Linked DNA regions of Macaca mulatta. The protein of the gene in region 1 purifies or fractionates together with the protein of each later gene. This does not show direct contact. Links are inferred from orthologs where the notes say so. Each region holds a gene or a part of one and is shown on either strand. Other genes may lie near its edges.

Region 1 (9,628 bases):
CTGCCTGCCTGTCCCACCGCCAAGCAGGCCAAAGCTGTAATTCACGTCCTTCTCTCCTCTAACTGTTAGATCTAAGAAAGAGGATCTGTTTCCTAGCATACCTTCTTCAGCCTGGAGAGTTGATCCTTTTCTATTCCCATTCCCAAAACCAAATTAAATGGCTTTTTGCCAGGATGAAACTTTTTTTTTTTTTTTTTTTTTTTGAGACGGAGTCTCGCTCTGTCGCCCAGGCTGGAGTGCAGTGGCCGGATCTCAGCTCACTGCAAGCTCCTACTCTCGGGTTCCCGCCATTCTCCTGCCTCAGCCTCCCGAGTAGCTGGGACTACAGGCACTCGCCACCGCGCCCGGCTAGTTTTTTGTATTTTTTAGTAGAGACGGGGTTTCACCGTGTTAGCCAGGATGGTCTCGATCTCCTGACCTTGTGATCCGCCCGTCTCGGCCTCCCAAAGTGCTGGGATTACAGGCGTGAGCCACCGCGCCCAGCCTAGGATGAAACTCTTGAATGACACTGGGGGCAGGGAGCAGCCCTCAGCTGAGAATGTGCCATTGTAGGCCTGGCCTCTTCCTAATGGCCCGTGCTCGGCATTCCCTGAGCAGCCCCGCTCCGCTTCCATACCTGCCCGCCTCAGGGCTGCCGCAGATCCGCAAGCAGAGGGCGTGTGGCTGGTCATGTTGGAGTGGGCATCCCCCAAGGGTCCTCAGAGCTTTCTGGGGTGGTAACACAGCCAAGCTGAAACAGGCATGTCCCCCCAGAGCCCATCCCACAACCTCTAGAAAGGGGGAAGCACCAGGAACAAGCTGGCCTCAGCAGGGCCAAGGCCCCCCAGGCTTGCTGCAACCGGCTGCTGCAGGGGACGGCAGGTTCTGCCTGCAGAGGCGCCCAGCAATTTGAGAGTGTCCAGGCCTGGAGCCACAGCTGGGCTGGGGATGAGGCTGGGAGCCAGGGCTGAGCAATGGCTGAGCCACTTGGGAGGGCAGATTTGAGGATGAATTCTCTAAGGATGCTGTACTCAACGTGTGAGGGAGCCAGGAGGGCCGTGTAGCGGGGCCCCTGGCAGGTGCTGTTCCCAGGGTGGGCAGCCCTGTCTCCAGTGGGAAGGTGGCCGCGGAAGCAGGCAGGGTGCTCTCAGGTGCCCCTCTTCCCTAGGGAAGAGCTCACCCATCTACCCAGGCTGTGCTGACCAGGCCGTGGCCCCATGCAGCATTTGCATCCAGAGAGCTCGGGGTCAGTCAGGGCTCTTGTGTCCCCAGAGGGACCCTGGCACTGCCTGTCCAGGCATCTCTCTCCTCTGGGCACGTGCTTATCTCCTTTGCCATGTGCCTGCCCACCACAGCCCAAGACCTGGTTCCATGAACAGCTGCTAGAACAGTGCCTGGCCTTAGAAGAGGAAGACCCCTCTCTCTGAGGCAGTCAGGCCATCTAGGGTGAGGGGAGTGGAGCAAGGCGGGAGGGTGGAACAGGGGTTCCCAAATCTAGACTCAAGTAAGGGCACCACCCCTGAGCATGGTGAAGGGGGCTGGAATGCTGGCCCTCATGCAGGTCCCTAGAGGCCAGGGGGAGACAGAGCCAGGCCCAGAAGCCTCCTGGGATATAGGGCCTGGGAGACAACCAGCCCAGACCTGGCACCTGGCTCATGGGTCTGCGCTGAGGAGCAGGGAGAGTTGCCCCAGTGGCACAGGATTTTGGCCTGGCCACCTGCTTCCCACAGAGAACTCAAGTCGTGGGGTAGCTGGGGGAGCTCCAGACAGCCCTTTTCTGCAAGATGGATCCCCAAGTAGGCCCCTCCCCTCAGCCCCCCTCACCATAGTGCTCCTCATAAGGCAGCCAGGTAGCCTGGGGAGGGAGGGTGCCTGCCCCTGCCTCCTCCTGCAGAATGCCACAGCAAGAAAGCCAGGTGCCTGCCCTTCCACCCCCACTGAGGGGTGTGTCCAGCCAGGCTGCTGGCCTGCGGAAGGGCCACAGGACTGAGAGGAGGCCTGCTTGGTGGGTGTGTACCCAGCCCTGGTGAGCCCTGACCTGCCTGCAAGAGGTAGGGGAGTGGCTGGGAGCTTGGCAGGAGGAGCCTTCTGAGGAACTCATCCTTGCCAGACAGTGTTTCAGGGGCTGGACCTGGGAATGACAGTGAGCAAAGGAGGGAGTGGCCCGAGGGGGTGGAGGCTTGAGACAAGGCCTCAGCCAGCCTGGGGCAGGAGCTTCAGGCAAAGCAGCCCGATGGGCATGGCCATGGCTCCTGAGGCCTCTGCCTAGCCCAGCAGTCTCCTGCTGGCCCCAGCTTTGTACTGGGAGCTGTCACTCCTGCTGACCAAGGAGGGGAGCTGGCACCCCCTGCTGGAGAGGACAGAGGGCTTCCTGGCAGAGGAGTGGGATGGGGAGGCGGGGGCGGGCTGGAAAGGCAGTGGTTGATGAACAGTGTGATGGGAGAGTCCAGGCCTGAGTGAGAAGACGGGGAGCAGCAAGGGAAGCGAGGGCCATGTGGAGGGTGGGGGCAGGGCTTGGAGGCCTGGGAACTGGGGACCGATGCTGAGTAACCGCCTGACCAGCAGCCATATGGACAGCATTTGCCTCTTAGGCCCATCCTGGCCTTGGCACAACTGAGCCCAATTCCTGGCCCCTGCCTCAGGCCAGGAAAGGTGTAGCTGGCTGGACAGGAGCCACAGTGCCAGCATCCACTTTGGTCTTAGTTGGGTTGTTTGGGTTTTGGTCCTGATCTTGTTTCTGAATGCTGCTTATGTGAGCTGGAGGGAGAGTGGACACCACCCCGCATCCCCTCTCACTGCCTTTTGATGGGATCTTAGAGAGGCTGGGCCTCGAAGACTCAGGTGTGGCCCCACTGGATCAGGTGTACAGCCCTCTTGGGGGCGGGGAGCCCTCTGGGGGTGGGGAGCCAGCCCCCACCAGTGTCCTCTTGGGTGGTGAGTGATTTCTTGGCAGCACCAACCCGGGCTGCCCTGTGGAGGGGAGAGACGCCTCAGCCAGGACCCCAGCATTGGCCATGCTCCCCTGCCCAATGTCCCAGGGCACAGCCTGGGCCCATGGGACCTGGAACAGATGCATGGGAGCCTGTGGGGTGGATGAGTCCATTACCCGTGGTGAGCCCATGTCCCCACAGAGGGAGAAGAGCTGGCGAGAGTGGCAGAGGGCACGGGCTTCCCACCCCAGGAGCCACGGTGCAGTGCGCAAGTGAAGACGGCCCCCACAAGTTCCCCAGCAGAGCCACACTGCTGGCCAGCAGAGGCTGCCCCAGGGACAGGCACCGAGCCCACCTGCAGCCAGGGTAAGGCGAGTTGGGAGCAGCCCAGCACCAGCCCGCAGGAGGCTGCCTCACAGCTGGCAGCCAGGGTGGGTTTCCTGTCCTGGCCTTGGAGGGCAGGGCCTGGGGATGCCCCATGGAATGAGATGGGGAGGAAATGGGGGTAGTGCAGGCCGGAGAGGGGAGCCAAGGGAGAGGCCCAGGCTGAAGAGTTTGGCTCATGGCCCATTGTGTCAGGGGCTGGGTAAAGAGGGACACCAGAGGCTTATTCTGTCCCTGGCATCATGGAAGGGTACTAGCGAGGGCAGGCAGCCTGCTTGGGCGCACTGCAAGACCCAGGCTGAGCCCAGAGTGGGGAAAGAGGGGCAGTCATGGACAGGGAGGAGCATGGGCCCCGTAACAGACACTTGAGGGACATCAGCAGCAGGCAGAAGGGTGGACAGGTTGGGCTGGGCCAAGCAGGCTTCCCTGTCGGCAACCACGTCAGATTCTAGCCCTGGCCTCTGTCCGGCCTGTTCCCACCAGCTGCTCCAACCAGGCAGGCCCCTTGGGGACTCCTCCTGGCGTGGGCCTCCCACAGACCACTCGGGATGGCAGGACCTGGCGCCAGCCCCTGGGGGCCAGGCATGGGCTCTGTGTAAACCCCATTCCTTTTAAAGCCATGGGGCTGCAGAGGAATGTGGAGGCGAGCCAGGCCAGCCGGGTCCTCCCGGCTCATGCAGCTCCCTAGAGGCTGCCAGGCCTGCAACTGTCCCAGCTTTCAGGCTCTGGGCAAACTCAGCCCCTTGCTCCCTCTGGAGGATGAGGTGAAAGTGGAGGCCCTGGAGCCAGCCCAGTGACCACACCTAGCTGAGTGACCAGCTCTGGGCTTCAGTGTCCTCCCTGGGGCATAGACACCAATAGGACATGGATCCTAGGATGGTTGTGGGGATGTGACAGTTCATGCAAGCATGATGCCTGGAGGTCTTACAGAACGCAGCAAGGCTTGGGGAGTCTCAGGCCCTGGGCTTTTTGAGTTCATGGTGTTACTGGGTGAGGTTCACAGTCCCAGCTCCTCACAGCCCAGGGCCAGAGTTGGGTCCCTGCAGGCTTGAGCCAAGTATCTGCCCAGGGTAGAAGCCTTGGAGCCTGCCAGCCAGCACAAACTACACAGCATAAAGACCCAGGACCAGTGGGGGCGAGATAAAGTGCTCACTGTGTGATGCAGCAGGCAGGAGGTGCTCTTGGTCCCTTTGTCTTCCAGAGGGGAAACTGAGGCCTGAGCCGAGAAGGGAAGGGGAGGCTCAGGAGGCTGCGAGTGAGACTCAGCCCCTGAGCTCTCCCCCAACAGCTGCCAGCTCCAAGGCCCCCAGCGGTGGGAGTGCCCAGCCACCAGAGGGTCACCCAGGCAAGGCAGAGCCCAGCCGGGCTAAGTCCCGCCCCCTGCCCAACATGCCAAAGCTGGTCATCCCCTCCGCCGCCACCAAGTTCCCCCCTGAGATCACCGTCACGCCACCCACCCCAACCCTGCTCTCCCCCAAAGGCAGCATCTCGGAGGAGACCAAGCAGAAACTGAAGGTGACCTCAGGGTCTGGGCCGGAACCACGCGTGTGGGTGGGCCGCACAGGTTACAAGGGGACCTAGGGTGGGGGTGGGGGTGGCAGGAGGGGCTGGGGGTGTAGGTGAGGATGGCATAGGGGCCTGGGACAGGGGTGAGGGTGAATCGGGAGCCTGGGGCAGGGGTGAAGGTGGCAGAGGGGTTTGGGGCAGAGCCCAACCATCCCTGACTAGTGCCCCGCTCGGCCCTCTCTGCAGTCAGCCATCCTTTCTGCCCAGTCTGCTGCCAACGTGAGGAAGGAGAGCCTGTGCCAGCCGGCCCTGGAGGTCCTGGAGACATCCAGCCAGGAGTCCTCGCTGGAGAGCGAGACAGACGAGGACGACGACTACATGGACATTTGAGGGGCCCCTGCAGCCCCACCGCCACGCCCCAGGAGACTGGCCAGGCCTGGGATGCCCTGGAATGCCCCCTCAGCCTGGACCCTGGGCAGGGCCAGAGGCCCACGTGGGATGCCACTCCCCACACAGCCCCCAGGCCTGCCCAGTCCACCTCCTCATGGCATTCACCCTGTACCCAGGTCAGGGCTGTCCACACCACGTGGGAGCCCAGAGGAGGAGGGGTCCACCTTAGCCATGTGAAGGTGGATTGGTCGCCATCTGCACGCCAGGCGGCATCGTTTTCTATGAAATGTTGACTTTCTAAATCTGCCCACACCCAGCTGGCCATGTCCACCCCTCGACGCCGGGATGAGCCGGCTGTGCCTGTGTCACAGTGGAGGGGTCCTTTAGGGCCAGGCTCGCCCCTCACTTTTTTTGGTTGCTTTTCTAATAAAGATGGAACAGTTGTCTTTGCCTCTTTGCTCACCTCTAGGGGGCAATCCCGCAGAGTCTTGGGTGGAGGGTTGCTGTCCCCAGGGATTCTGGGCCTGGGCCTTTACTGCCATAGCCCATAGGGCAGGGCCCAGCCCCCATCCTTCTCCAGCATCTCAGGGATCAACCAGGCAACCAAAGCAGCGACTGGGGGTGCCCAGTGGGGTAAGGAGAGTGCCGGTTTGGGGCTGGGCTGGGCAGACGCCTCCAGTGCAGCTGGAGCCGGGCCTCAAAGGGGCATTAGGTGCATCCCCAGAATTCCCCCGGCTGTTGGTGGGTGGGAGGCTGTATGGTGGGAGGGCAGGCAGGACTGGGGCTGCTGAGAGGCTGGGAGGAGGGGCCGTCAGGGAGGGAAAGGGGGGATGGGGCCGGCAGGGAGGACACTTAGTCCCAACACCATCGCCCTAACAGGGCCAGTCAGAGAATAGCTGTGGGGCTCAGTGCAAGACGTAAATATGAAGCCCCTTGTTCAAAAATGATTAAGGATTTTTTTTTTCTTTTCTTTTTTTTCTTTTTTCTTTTTCTTTTTTTTTTTTTTTTTTTTTTTTTGAGGCAGTCTCACTCCATCTCCCAGGCTAGAGTGCAGTGGCACGATCTCAGCTCACTAAACTTCCGCCTTTCGGGTTCAAGCGATTCTCCTGCCTCAGCCTCCCAAGTAGCTGAGACCACAGGCACACGCCACCACTCCCGGCAATTTTTGCATTTTTAATAGAGATGGAGTTTCACCATATTGGCCAGGCTGGTCTCGAACTCCTGACCTCAAGAGATCCACCCACCTTGGCTACCCAAACTGCTGAGATTACAGGCGTCAGTCACCATGCCTGATCAAAAATGATTAAGGATTTTTTTTTTTTTTTTTTTTTTTTGAGATGGAGTCTCGCTCTGTCACCCAGGCTGGAGTGCAGTGGCTGGATCTCAGCTCACTGCAAGCTCCGCCTCCCGGGTTTACGCCATTCTCCTGCCTCAGCCTCCCGAGTAGCTGGGACTACAGGCGCCTGCCACCTCGCCCAGCTAAGTTTTTGTATTTTTAGTAGAGACGGGGTTTCACTGTGTTAGCCAGGGTGGTCTTGATCTCCTGACCTCGTGATCCGCCCGTCTCGGCCTCCCAAAGTGCTGGGATTACAGGCTTGAGCCACCGCGCCCGGCCTATGATTAAGGATTTTAAAGCAGCCCCCACAGAGCATTAAACAAGCCCCTGAAGCTGGCCCCGCCCCTGAAGGTTCCAGGCCCATCTGTTTTGGGGATGTACAGGTTCCAGGGGCCCAAACCCACCCTTCACCACCCTCTTCCCCTCCCAGCACCACAGGGGCCCTCCTGGCCCCTGGGACCGCCCACGAAGCAGGCTCTCTGTCCAGGATGGAGATGGGGACCCTCCTCACTGCCCTGTGCCCCTCATGGGCTGGACATGCCCACCACCCAGGAAGGAAGGCGTAAAGGGCTGGGCACCGCCCTTGTGGAACCAGAGGCTTGGCGGCCCTAGATGGTTCTGGCTGAACCCGCCTTCGGAGGGCTGAGATGAGCCGGCCGGCCGCAGTTACTCAGCTGACGCCCCCTCCCTGCAGGGCCTGGGGTAAGGAGCTTCCCAGACTGCACACCTAGCCCCCACCGCACTTCCATCATCTCCAGACACACACAGCAAGGGTGCCCAGGCCAGAAACAGGAAGCAGCAGCTCTTCGTCCTCCTGTTCCCGGGAACCGTCTCAGCCAACCCCCAACACCCCTCCCTGGATCCTCACCTCAGGGACACCTCGGACCCTCCCGTGCACCCAGTACTGTAGGGAGAAACCTCAGCCCTGGGCCCGGGATGAGTGCCCTCGCCAGCCTGGGATCAGGAGACAGGCTCTCCCTGGCTCAGCACCTGAGTGTCCACTCACAGGACACTCACCTGCAGAGATGCCCTGAGCGCCGTTGTGGGTTAAGGGACTTTTTCCCCTCTGGAAACAGTCGCTGGGAAGCTGAAGGTCTTGAGGGCCTCTCACCAAATGTCTTTGGGAGGTGGGAAGACATCAAATGTGGGTGTGGCTTCCCTGGAACAGCTGTGTGTGAGGACTCAGGAGCCAAGTCCCCCAGCGCACGCCTCTAACACCTTCAGTAAGGGCCACCCCTCTGGAGCCACAGGTGGCTGCCAACACGCTGTGGTTCCCAGCAGGCACCACCCAGGCAAGAGAGAGAACAGGCCGGGGAACAATGGACTGGCCTGGCCCCAAGTGCTGGGCAGATCAGAGACCAGATGGCCTAAGCTCATGCCCTGGGGCCAGCTCTGACTCCCTGCAAGTGTGGCAAGAGTCCCTTTTGGACACCTTGAGAAGCTGCAGCTGGGAGAGGACCACCCGCCTGTCTGGACATCCAGCCCAGATGGCAGGGCCCAAGTGACCAATCCCAGGCCACAGCCCTTACGGCCCACCCTGGCTGCAGGGGCTCCCAGAAGCCACCAAGGGCCTGACTTGGCCTTGCCTGTCCACATCTGAGCTTCAGTTTCCTCATCTGCTCAAGAAGGGGAGGGAAACACTGATTAGATTATGCAAACTCTGAGTGGCAGGATTAGGTGTGGCTGGGAGAGTCAAGGCTCCCCAGTGTGGTGGCATCTCTGGAGCCCGGGGATGGGCCCTGTCTCCCTTCTGGCCCCCCAGCTGGGCTTGAGTACTTCCTCTCCCCTCCCTCCTTCCTCCCTCCGGAGGGGTCCCCTGCAGAGCTGCCTCAGCCCCAGGGCTCAGCCTGTGTCTGACCCAAACAGCTCCCGCATCCCGGGAGGATGAGTTGGGAGCACCTCCTTCCTGCAGGAAGATGAGGGCTAGAGATGGAGGTCAATGTCAGGGCCACAGAGGCTAGACTCCTGCCTGGAGCTTAAACAGCCCTGCCTTACCCACCCTGTGCATCCCATCCTCTGCTGCAGCCCCGCCCGGCACACCCTGCACACAGGGCGGGGCTGGGACCCAGGGTCTGAGCTTTGGCCTCTGGACATCCGGCTCATCGCCTGCCAAAGGCCCTACAGCTGGAGGCTCCAGCCTCCTCACCCTCCCACAGGGTCCCAGGGCCGACCCATGCCTGCGGGCCAGGAATGTGCTAACGGGGCAGGTTGGGCCTTGCTGGTCCACGCAGGCACCTGTGGACTTTGAGAGGGGACCCGGCGGGGAGGGGCGAGGAGGGGCGGGGCGGGGCGGGGCGGTGCCGCAGAGTGCAGGGCGGGCGGGGCCAGGCCGGCTGGGAATGAGCTTCTCTGGCCGCCTTGCCTCAGAGCCACTGCACTGCTGGCTGCAGACACAGACTGCACCATGAAGCCAGCCCTCCTGCCCTGGGCCCTGCTGCTGCTGGCGACAGCCCCCGGCCCAGGCCCTGGACCCGCAGCAGGTATGCCTCCCCGCCCTCCTGTGCCCCCATCTGTCTGTCCATCTGGCTGCAGCCAGGCCTGGGCAGACCACCCTCTGGGCTCAGCCTCTGTCCACCTGTCAGGCCATCTGTGGCTGTGCTAGGGGTGGTGGGAAGAAATTCTGAGGGTCCATGTCGTGGGGCAGCCCATGGGGATGGGAGATCTGAGCCAGGCCCACCCTAAACCCGCTGGGAGCTAGGAGGGAGGCCGGGGAGACCAGCAGAGGCCTCAGCCTGCGTCCCCAGTCCTGACAGGGCGGGATCGCGGAGGGGGAGCCAGGATTGTGGGTCCTCATCAGGGTGGGGCTGAATCCGGGAAAGTCTAGGGGAAGCCCCGAACTCTAGAACCAGGACACTGGCCACAGGCCACCCCCCACCCCACTTCCCATTCACCCTCCTGCCACTTATCTCACTTGCAAGCATCTCTCGGCCTCCTTCCCCGACCCCTGTGCGCCACCACATCCTTGGCCAGTACATATTTATTGTTGTTCTTAAGTGCCAGGCACTGCACTTAGTGGAGTGGGGCCAGCGGGGTGGCTCAGGCCTAGGCCTGGCCCTTGACTGGCCTCTTTTGATGGGGGATGGGGAAGGGCCAGGGACGTACG
Region 2 (9,628 bases), on another chromosome or scaffold:
CGCCCAGGCTGGAGTGCAGTGGCGTGATCTTGGCTCACTGCAACCTCTGCCGCCTGTGTTCACACCATTCTCCTGCCTCAGCCTCCCGAGTAGCTGGGACAGCAGGCATCCACCACCATGCCCGGCTAATTTTTTTGTGTGTTTAGTAGAGACGGCGTTTCAACGTGTTAGCCAGGATGGTCTCGATCTCCTGACCTTGTGAAAATCCACCCACCTTGGCCTCCCAAAGTGCCGGGATTACAGGCATGAGCCAAGGGTCTGGCCTCTCTCTTTTTTTTTTTTTTTTCTCTTTTTTGAGACCAAGTCTTACCCTGTCACCCAGGCTGCAGTGCGGTGGTGCAATCTTGGCTCACTGCAACTTTTGCCTCCCAAGTTCAAGTGGTTCTCCTGTCTTAGCCTCCCAAGTAGCTGGGATTACAGGTGCCAGCCATCACATCTGGCTAATTTTTTTTTTTTTTTGTATTTTTAGCAGAGACGGGGTTTCACCATGTTGGTGGCCAGGCTGGTCTTGAGAACTCCTGACCTCAAGTGATCTACCCACCTTTGCCTCTCAAAGTGTTGGGATTACAGGCGTGAGCCACGGCACCCGGCTGTGTTTTTGTATTGTATGTAGATAGAATCATATGCTATTTGAGTACTGCCTAGGTGAAAAGCATTTTTAAGCACCTGTGTCTACCTTTGCACTATGCTAGGCTCTGAGGAAAAGGTAAGTAGGCCCCACACTGGCAGCATTCTAGTCTCTAGAGTGGCTCTTGGTGAAATGGGGATGAGGCTGATAATTGGCTCACAGCTGTCTGAGCGTGGAATGAGATCGTGTTGTGAAGTGTCTTTTTTTTTTTTTTTGAGACGGAGTCTCGCTCTGCCGCCCAGGCTGGAGTGCAGTGGCCAGATCTCAGCTCACCACAAGCTCCACCTCCCGGGTTTACGCCATTCTCCTGCCTCAGCCTCCCGAGTAGCTGGGACTACAGGCGCCCGCCACCTTGCCCGGCTAGTTTTTTGTATTTTTTAGTAGAGACGGGGTTTCACCATGTTAGCCAGGATGGTCTCAATCTCCTGACCTTGTGATCCGCCCGTCTTGGCCTCCCAAAGTGCTGGGTTTACAGGCTTGAGCCACTGCGCCCGGCCCTATGTTGTGAAGTTTCTAGCATTATGCCTCAGTGCCAAGTGATCAGTCGGTCTTATTCACAGGTGTGCTGTTTGGAGGGTATTTTTGGTTAGAAGGATTAACCTTTTTTTCCTGAGATTAAAAAATGTATTTTCTTGGCCTGGCATAGTGGCTCACACCTGTAATCCCAGCACTTTGGGAGTCAGAGACATGAGGATCACTTGACCACAGGAGTTCAAGACTAGCCTGGGCAACACAGTGAAACTCCATCTCTGCAAAATAATGTAGAAATTAGCTGGGCATGATGGCGCATGCCTGAAGTTCCAGCTACTCAGAAAGCTGAGGTGGCTGAGGTGGGAGGATTGCTTGAGCCTGAGAGGTCAAGGTTGCAGTGAGCCGTGATCACACTACTGCACTGGGTGAAAGCAAGACCCTGTCTTAAAAAAAAAAAAAAAAAAAAACATGGCTAGAAGGCCTGGCGCAGCATCCCAACACTTTGGGAGGCTAAGGCGGTCTGATCACTTGAGGTCAGGAGTTCGAGACTAGCCTGGCCAACATGGTGAAGCCCCATCTCTACTAAAAATACAAAAATTAGCCGGATGTGGTAGTGCACGCATGTAATGCCAGCTACTTGGGAGGCTGAGGCAGGAGAATTGTTTGAACCCAGGGGCTGGAGGTTTTAGTGAGCCGAGATCATGCCACTGCACTCCAGTCTGGGTGACAGAGCGAGACTCTGTCTCCAAAAAAAAAAAAAAAAAAGCCGGGAGTGGTGGGACGCACCTGTAATCCCAGCTCTGGGGAGGCTGAGGCGTGAGAATCACTTGAACCCAGGAGGCGGGTTTTGCAACGAGCTGAAATCGCGCCACTGTACTCCAGCCTGGGTGATGGTGAGACTCCATCTTCCCCCACCAAAAAAAACCAAACCAAAAAAAAAATGTTTCCTTGATTGAGGTCTGATTGCCTGATTGCCAGAATCGGGGCCAATGAGTCTGTACCAAGGGTCAGCCTGTTGGATGAGGGCCACTGGGCAGGATGAGAAAAAGTAATTTCACATCCCTTTATAATTCCTGTTTCAGTAAAATGGTATCTTTTTCGTTTAGAGGAAGAGACAGTAGCAGGGGTTGGTTAATGTGTTTATTTGTGGGTTGAAACCAAATCAGTAGGTCAACTGAAATGAGAACTCCAGTGCTCTGATTGCACGTTTTTGGGGGCTCCAAATGCCCTTCTCCATTGCAGACAAATGCATGGAGGATACACAGAGAACTTTGGATCCAATTCAGAGGATTCAGTCCTGGACTTCGGGTTCAGGGAACTCCTAAGTCGCCGTGGGTCTACTCTGCAGTGTTAAAAGTACAATGAAATCGGACACATTCGTGCAGCATTCTTTTAGTGTATATTTCTTAATAGTATGAAGGCACTGTGCTAGATTCAGAGGACTGTAGAAAGGTGGAGAAAACACTGTACCACACTCAAAACAAACGTGTAGATGGTTTAGGAGAATGGTACCACCACAGGTAACAGAAATTACAATACGGTCATTGTTTAAGTCTGGTACAACACAGGCCCTGGAGGTCTTGGAAAGAAGAGAGCTTATATCCTGATTAGTATTTGGACAGAGCTGGACCTTCCATCATACAGTCAGGAAATAGTAGTTATTGGAAGACTGCTGTTGGCAAGGCATTGAGTAGTATACATGGAATCCAGTGCTCCTCAAGGTTGGTGGGATTTCTTACTGTTACATAACCACTCAAGTTATATGTGATCATCCTAGAAAAATTAGAAGATCCAGATAAGTGTGTTTGAAAGACTCCCCATTTGTGGTATGTTCATTAGATGTATGCTCTATAATATCCCATTGTATGTGTACACCACAAATCATTTAACTGATCCTTTGCAGGTAGTATTTCAGTAGGCAGAGATGGAAGGGTGAGATAAGAAAGTTTGTTTGAAACAGGCATACAATCTTTAATGTTTTCTGTCTACCTTGAAGTCTTTTTTTTTTTTTTGAGACGGAGTCTCGCTGTGTCGCCCGGGCTGGAGTGCAGTGGCCGGATCTCAGCTCATTGCAAGCTCCGCCTCCCAGGTTTACGCCGTTCTCCTGCCTCAGCCTCCCGAGTAGCTGGGACTACAGGCGCCCGCCAACTCACTCGGCTAGTTTTTTGTATTTTTTAGTAGCGACGGGGTTTCACCGTGTTAGCCAGGATGGTCTCGATCTCCTGACCTCGTGATCTGCGCATCTCGGCCTCCCAAAGTGCTGGGATTACAGGCTTGAGCCACCGCGCCCGGCCTACCTTGAAGTCTTAAACATTTTTGGTACAGGAGTCTTGTTAAGGTTCCTGGCTTCTGGCTGGGTGTGGTGGCTGTCACCTGTAATCTCAGCACTTTGAGAGGCTGAGATGGGCAGATCATTTGAGCCCAAGAGCTTGAGACCAGCCTCGGCAACATGATGAAACCCTCTCTCTATAAAAGACTTAAAGAAAAAATGAGCTAGGCCTAGTGTTGCATGCCTGTGGTCCCAGCTATGCAAGAGGCTGAGGCAGGAGGATTACCCGAGCCTGGGGAGGTTGAGGCTACAGTGAGTCATGATTGTGCCACTGCACTGCAGCTTGAGTGACAGAGTGAGACTATATCTCAAAACAAAAAAAAAAATTTTTTTTAGATTCCTTGCTCAAGAACCTTAAGGCTTATCTCTGGAAAATTTGCTTGATGAGAAAAGAATAAGCTTATAAAATGGAAATAAGCCTTGGAAGCCTGAGTTTAACTTTGGTAGCACCGAGAGAAGTGCAATTTCAGACCTTTCTAAACAGTGTGGCAGAACGGCTCTCAAGAACTTGTACCACGTTCAGTGGGATTTTCACATTTTTGAGCCATTGACTCTTTTGGAAGTCAATGGACTCTTTCTTAGAATGTTTTTAAATGCATGAAGAAAATTTTAGAGTTACGAGGGAAGTCCGCTGTATTGAACGTGGTTGTGTAGCGATTGAGCATCTCCTTCTAAAGGCCCTTTGCTGTCTTTGAGCCCTGTAGCCCCTCCTGCTGTGGTGGATAATTGTAGGCATTCAGTCAAGTTTTATTAACCTGCGTGAATGGAAATTTTACTTTCTTAATTAAGATAAACATTGATGAGATAGTAGCATGTTTTATACCTTGCCTTTTTCTGAAAAACATTGTTTTTATATAGGTATTGAGTAGTCAGTGGAGTTTCTACGAATAAGAACATGGGACTATTTTGTGACTTATTTTTTATGGAACAATCTCTTTACAGAAGAAAGATCTGTCAGATCCTTTCAATGACGAAGAAAAGGAAAGGCATAAAGTGGAGGCCCTTGCCCGGAAATTTGAAGAAAAATACGTAAGATTTCTCTCTTGAGCAACAAAACAACCTCATTGGGTGGGAGAGGTTTCCATACATTTCTGTATTCCTTTAGTGGATTATCATGTAATAAACACTGATGTGGACATAAGCATTAAGCTTGGAGAGAACAGAAGCAGTTATTAAACCTAATGCATTAAGGTACAGAAAACGGGCATGGCAGAGCTAGAGTGAGGAGCTAACTGGACAAATAACCGAGAAGGGCCTGTGATCGTCTTAGAAGAAATGTTTTGGTACGAAGCATAAGAAACCATTTAGTTCATTTTTCTGTCCTAGGACATTTTATACAGATACAAATCTGCCCTGTGTTAAAAGGTTTTCAGGAAAGGAGATTTTGGGGTTTGTGTATGTGAGAGAGTGACCTTTCTAGTTAGTGCTTTTCCTCTTTGAGTCATAGCTGATGAAGTTCAAGGCCACAGTTAATTCTGTGTATTTATCAAAAAGCATGTAATCTGTTGCTTTTACATTTTAGGGTGGAAAGAAACGTAGAAAAGACCGAATACAGGACTTGATCGATATGGGGTATGGTTATGATGAATCCGATTCCTTCATCGATAACTCTGAGGCGGTAAGTAGTTACTGAAAATGCCGTGTCAGACCCACTGTGCCATAGCTCCTCCTCATACTGGCCAGGAAGCTGGGGGTGGGGTCACAGCGGCCATGCCCTCTTCCCAGCATGAGGCAGTAGCAGCGCTGATGAGAGACAAAGTGACATTCTTGATCCGGGCCTTAGTTCCCTCTTCAGAAAATGTTGACCAGAAGGATGTTTTAGCATGCTCTTGGAAGTGTCAGAGGAACATACTCACATCTCTCTCTAGACCTGCTTTGCACCTTTGGACTACAGAAGCAGAACTTGGAGCTGACAGTTTGTTTCACCCTTTCAGTATGATGAGCTTGTTCCTGCTTCTTTGACTACGAAGTATGGAGGATTTTACATTAACTCGGGAACCCTGCAGTTTAGACAAGCATCAGAGTCTGAGGATGACTTCATTAAAGAAAAGAAGAAAAAGTCTCCAAAGGTTAGAATGTGCTTGCTTTTGGATTTTAGAAATGCTTTTTGATGTGACCCTATCAGATGAGTAGGTGACTCGTCAGAATACGTGGTGCTTGGCCGGCTCAGGAGGACGGTGGAAAGGCAGAGCCGTGCCAGGTCGATGGTTCACCTCATACACATGTGCCCTGATGAGGACACGTGCCTGTGGGGGCTCTGTGCGGCACTTGGTCATCGTGTCCACCTCACATAACATCCCAGCAGGCTCAGCAGGGATCGTTTCTGGAGGTGGCCTAAGGGTGGGAAGGGTGTGGAGTGAGGGATGTGTACCACTCTTGCTGACCCTCTTCTGTGGACGTGTAGAGGACTTCAGTTCCCAGGGCTGCCACCCCACTGAAAACCAGTCAGCCTTAGGATCAGTGTGTTTAAAAACCTGTCTACCACTGCCTATGTGTTTAAAACAAGAGGTAGGGCCCACTTGTAACTTTCAAACTAGAAAGGTTTCAGGCTCCAGAATGGTCACTTTTGTCTCAGCCCTGGGTGTTTCCAGGAGACACCGTCGGTGGGAATGCTGTGGGTTTGTGGTCCAGGGACCAATCTGAGAGCTTTTGTTCATGAAGGAAATGAGACAGGTCTCAGGATGTGCCCTGGGCGGAGCAAGGCCAGTGCCGTGTAGTGCACTTGCTCCCTGAGTTAGGGAGCCGTGTAACTGTGCCTTGTCTTTAATTCTCAGAAGCGGAAGTTGAAGGAAGGTGGTGAGAAGATAAAGAAGAAGAAAAAAGATGACACTTATGACAAGGAGAAGAAATCGAAAAAGTCCAAGTTTTCCAAAGCCGGGTGAGAGGCAGCAGCTTCTTTGCTAGGATAAAGCCTGAACTGTTAGGGCAGGACGACTGGGAGCTGACTCACCTCCTCCCCACAGCTTCGGAAGAGGCAGCAGGGCCTAGCCTTCCTGTCCTCCTGCACGCCTCCCGCGGTGCCATTCTGGGCATACACGCTCACCTCTCTGTGTGTCAGATAGTTCCACTGTCAGTGTTGGCAGCTATTCTTGTCACTGTGTGACTGCTGATGTTTCTCGTTCTCCGGGACGCTCCTCTCTGCCCCAGTTCTCCTTCTGTCTCTGCTGTTTTCCCTTGTCGTCTGTGGTCCTGCTTCCTTCTCCTCACTTGGTCTCACCCCAGCTGCTCTTCAAGTTGCTGCTGTTCTCTGCTGCTCCTGCTTTCTCCCTGTAAATACTTTTCTTGCTCTCCCTGCCCCTTTTTGCAACCTTTTATTTCAGCCTGGCAGTGGTTTCTAAAAACCCGTCGGAAATTTAGCATATGTGACACTGTGTTGCTAACCTGTATTAACTCTCAAGCTTTGGTCTCAGCAAGAACGAGCTCCATATGCCAAGAGGAGGGAGGAGGAATGACAGGGTGGACTGTGACAGGTTCTCCTGGAGACCATGGCCCTGGGAGCAGGGGTGAAGGCCTCTGGAGTTCCCTTTGGCAGTGTCCTGTAGTCTGAGTGACCAGTTTCCCTCTTGCTTGCAGCTTCACAGCCCTCAATGCCAGTAAGGAGAAGAAGAAGAAGAAATATTCTGGGGCGTTAAGCGTTAAAGAGATGCTAAAGAAATTTCAGAAGGAGAAAGAGGCTCAGAAAAAAAGGGAGGAGGAGCATAAGCCTGTTGCGGTCCCATCAGCGGAAGCTCAGGGCCTGCGAGAACTGGAGGGTGCCTCTGACCCCTTGCTCTCACTCTTTGGCTCCACTTCTGACAACGACTTCCTCCAGGCGGCCACTGCCATGGACTCGCTGACGGATTTGGACTTGGAGCATCTGCTCAGTGAGTCTCCAGAAGGAAGCCCCTTCCGTGATATGGATGATGGAAGTGATTCCCTTGGGGTGGGATTGGACCAGGAATTCAGGCAGCCCTCTTCTCTCCCCGAAGGCCTGCCAGCACCCCTGGAGAAGCGCGTTAAGGAGCTGGCTCAGGTATGGTGACACAGTGCGGCTGGGCTTTCCTGGAAGCAGTTTGGGCAGATTGCCGTTGGTTCTGCACTGCGTGAAGCTCGCCCAGAGAAACCTTAGTGAGTTGGCAGTTAAGGTGTCAGCTTTTTCCAAACTCTCTTCTCATTCTGAGGGAGAAAACAGTGCAAGCCTTGCCCGTCAGGCATCATTTTAGGCCATTCTTCATTTCTTCATTTCTGGAAAGTTTGCTTTCTTCTGGGGAGATGGTTGTCTTTCTGTTTTCTGTCAGATTATTCTGTTTTCTGTCAGTTTTCCACTCGGCATCTTTTCTTTCATGTGATAGATGGATGATGTTGGCAACAGGCAGCTGAGGCAGAGATTCATCTTAGAATTCTTCCGAAGGTTTTGCAAATTCACAAAAGTTTGCAAACATATGAATTGCACATAGAGTATATGCTTCGTTGCCACTAGGTTTCAGTTGCTCCTTTGCATTGTGTATCTAGAGTTAGGTAGTGATTACGGGAATGCTTCCAATGTGATGAATGAAAAGTAACTTAATTTTAATTGCCGTCCATGCCCCGTTAAAACCCACCATTGGCGGGGCACGGTGGCTCACACCTGTAATCCCAGCACTTTGGGAGGCCGAGGCAGGTGGATCACCTGAGGTCAGGAGTTCGAGACCAGCCTGGCCAACATGGTGAAACCCTCTTTCTACTAAAAATACAAAAATTTAGCTGGGCAGGGTGGTGCATACCATAATCCTAGCTACTTGAAAGGCTGAGGCAGGAGAATCACTTGAATCCAGGAGGCGGAGGTTGTGGTGAGTGGAGATGGCGCCAGTGCACTCCAGCCTGGGCCACAGAGCGAGACTCTGTTAAAAAACAAACCAACCACCATCACCACCTTTAGGATATAGCAGCTCTTGCTGTTTTCCTCCAGTGACTGGGAATTGATCCCTAAGCTCTGAGAATTGTCTGTTCAAGTAACATATTTCTTAACTGTAAACCTGGCATGGATCATTAGTTGTAATATCATTTACCTTTAAGTTAAAATAACATTTTATCTTAAGCATCAGGACTTGTGATGCAGCTCTGGTGGCACTCATAATCTACAGCTGTAGGTTTTAAACCAGCAGTTCTTACAGTATTTTAGAAGCATTGTTACGTATAGTATCCTTTGTGTTTTAGGGCAGGGTAAATTGTCAGCCACTGCTAAAATGATTTTCTCACTTCCAAAAACTATTTGAACGCCGTATATAAAGCAAATAAAGTATCTGTTCCAATCTCTATCTCATCTTTGTCAGCTTGTGTTCAGCATTGGAAATTCAAGTATTGTATTTGAATGTAATGATTTAAATGAATTGTGCCATGTTGGGGTTTGGAGTATCCCTTAAGTATGACCTTGAGGTGGAAGTAGCTGAATCTGAACTTGGTGTGTTTGAGCCTACTGTCCTATATTTGCTTTCAGAATTCATGTTAAACAAACATTATATCTTGCTCTTTTTAATCCTCTGGTTTGTAATCAAATTGTTTCATAGTCTCTGAAAGTCTTGTTAAATCATTTAAGGTCTATGTGATGATAGCTGCTCATTAGAGAAAAGTCAAAACCAAATTCTTGGCTGTGTCTCCACTCATGCCATAGGTTGTGTTCTAGTGTGAAGACTTGCTGTTTCACTTTCTTGGGAAAGATAGGGACAGATTTAGTGTCAACAAAATGATACAACCGGAAAAAGCATGGGGCTCTGGTGCAAGAAAGCGGAACTGAGTAAACACCTTGTTAGGCAACCTGCCCTGCCTCAGTGATTGCCAAGTGTCGGTTAGCTCTTGGGCATAACAAACACATGGTTCAGGATCCCATAGTCAAGGTGGGCCTGGGGCCCGGTGGGGAGCTGGTGACCAGGAGAGGCTGATGTTCTGGTTTGAAAATATGATATTCAAATGTGAAGTTGATATTCGAGTCTTCGCATTGCCCTTCTCCTGTAACAGCTTTAAGAAACTTTGAAAATGGGGTGGCAAGTGTGTAGAAATGATCCATCCGGCCAATATAAAAACAATTTCTAGTTGGATATTCTTTTCTAGCCTCTGTGTATGTGTTTTTATGCAACTGTAATTATAGTTGTGAATAACTGTTTCCTGCCTTTTTACATAATATTGTAAAACCCTCATCACTTTTCATGGTTGCATTAAAAAGGTGGCTTATTTTAGAAAATTGC

Evidence for each region.
Region 2: the proteins of CABIN1 (region 1) and UBN1 purify together in Homo sapiens (affinity purification with western blotting; 6 studies listed by BioGRID, with this or other methods). This does not show direct contact. The link is inferred for Macaca mulatta from reciprocal best matches to the Homo sapiens genes CABIN1 and UBN1.

What each region holds. Positions count from the first base shown.
Region 1 is NC_133415.1:28,357,468-28,367,095, forward strand, and holds the end of CABIN1 (calcineurin-binding protein cabin-1), read left to right. Parts: exon of another isoform or gene 1-148; intron 149-3,110; coding exon 3,111-3,275; intron 3,276-4,494; coding exon 4,495-4,857; intron 4,858-5,045; coding exon 5,046-5,482; 3' UTR 5,483-5,632; downstream 5,633-9,628. Other genes in the region: SUSD2 (sushi domain-containing protein 2), read left to right, coding at 8,930-9,102. UniProt on the Homo sapiens protein: May be required for replication-independent chromatin assembly. May serve as a negative regulator of T-cell receptor (TCR) signaling via inhibition of calcineurin. Inhibition of activated calcineurin is dependent on both PKC and calcium signals.
Region 2 is NC_133425.1:6,119,584-6,129,211, forward strand, and holds part of UBN1 (ubinuclein-1), read left to right. Parts: intron 1-4,370; coding exon 4,371-4,457; intron 4,458-4,950; coding exon 4,951-5,046; intron 5,047-5,362; coding exon 5,363-5,497; intron 5,498-6,202; coding exon 6,203-6,306; intron 6,307-7,001; coding exon 7,002-7,440; intron 7,441-9,628. UniProt on the Homo sapiens protein: Acts as a novel regulator of senescence. Involved in the formation of senescence-associated heterochromatin foci (SAHF), which represses expression of proliferation-promoting genes. Binds to proliferation-promoting genes.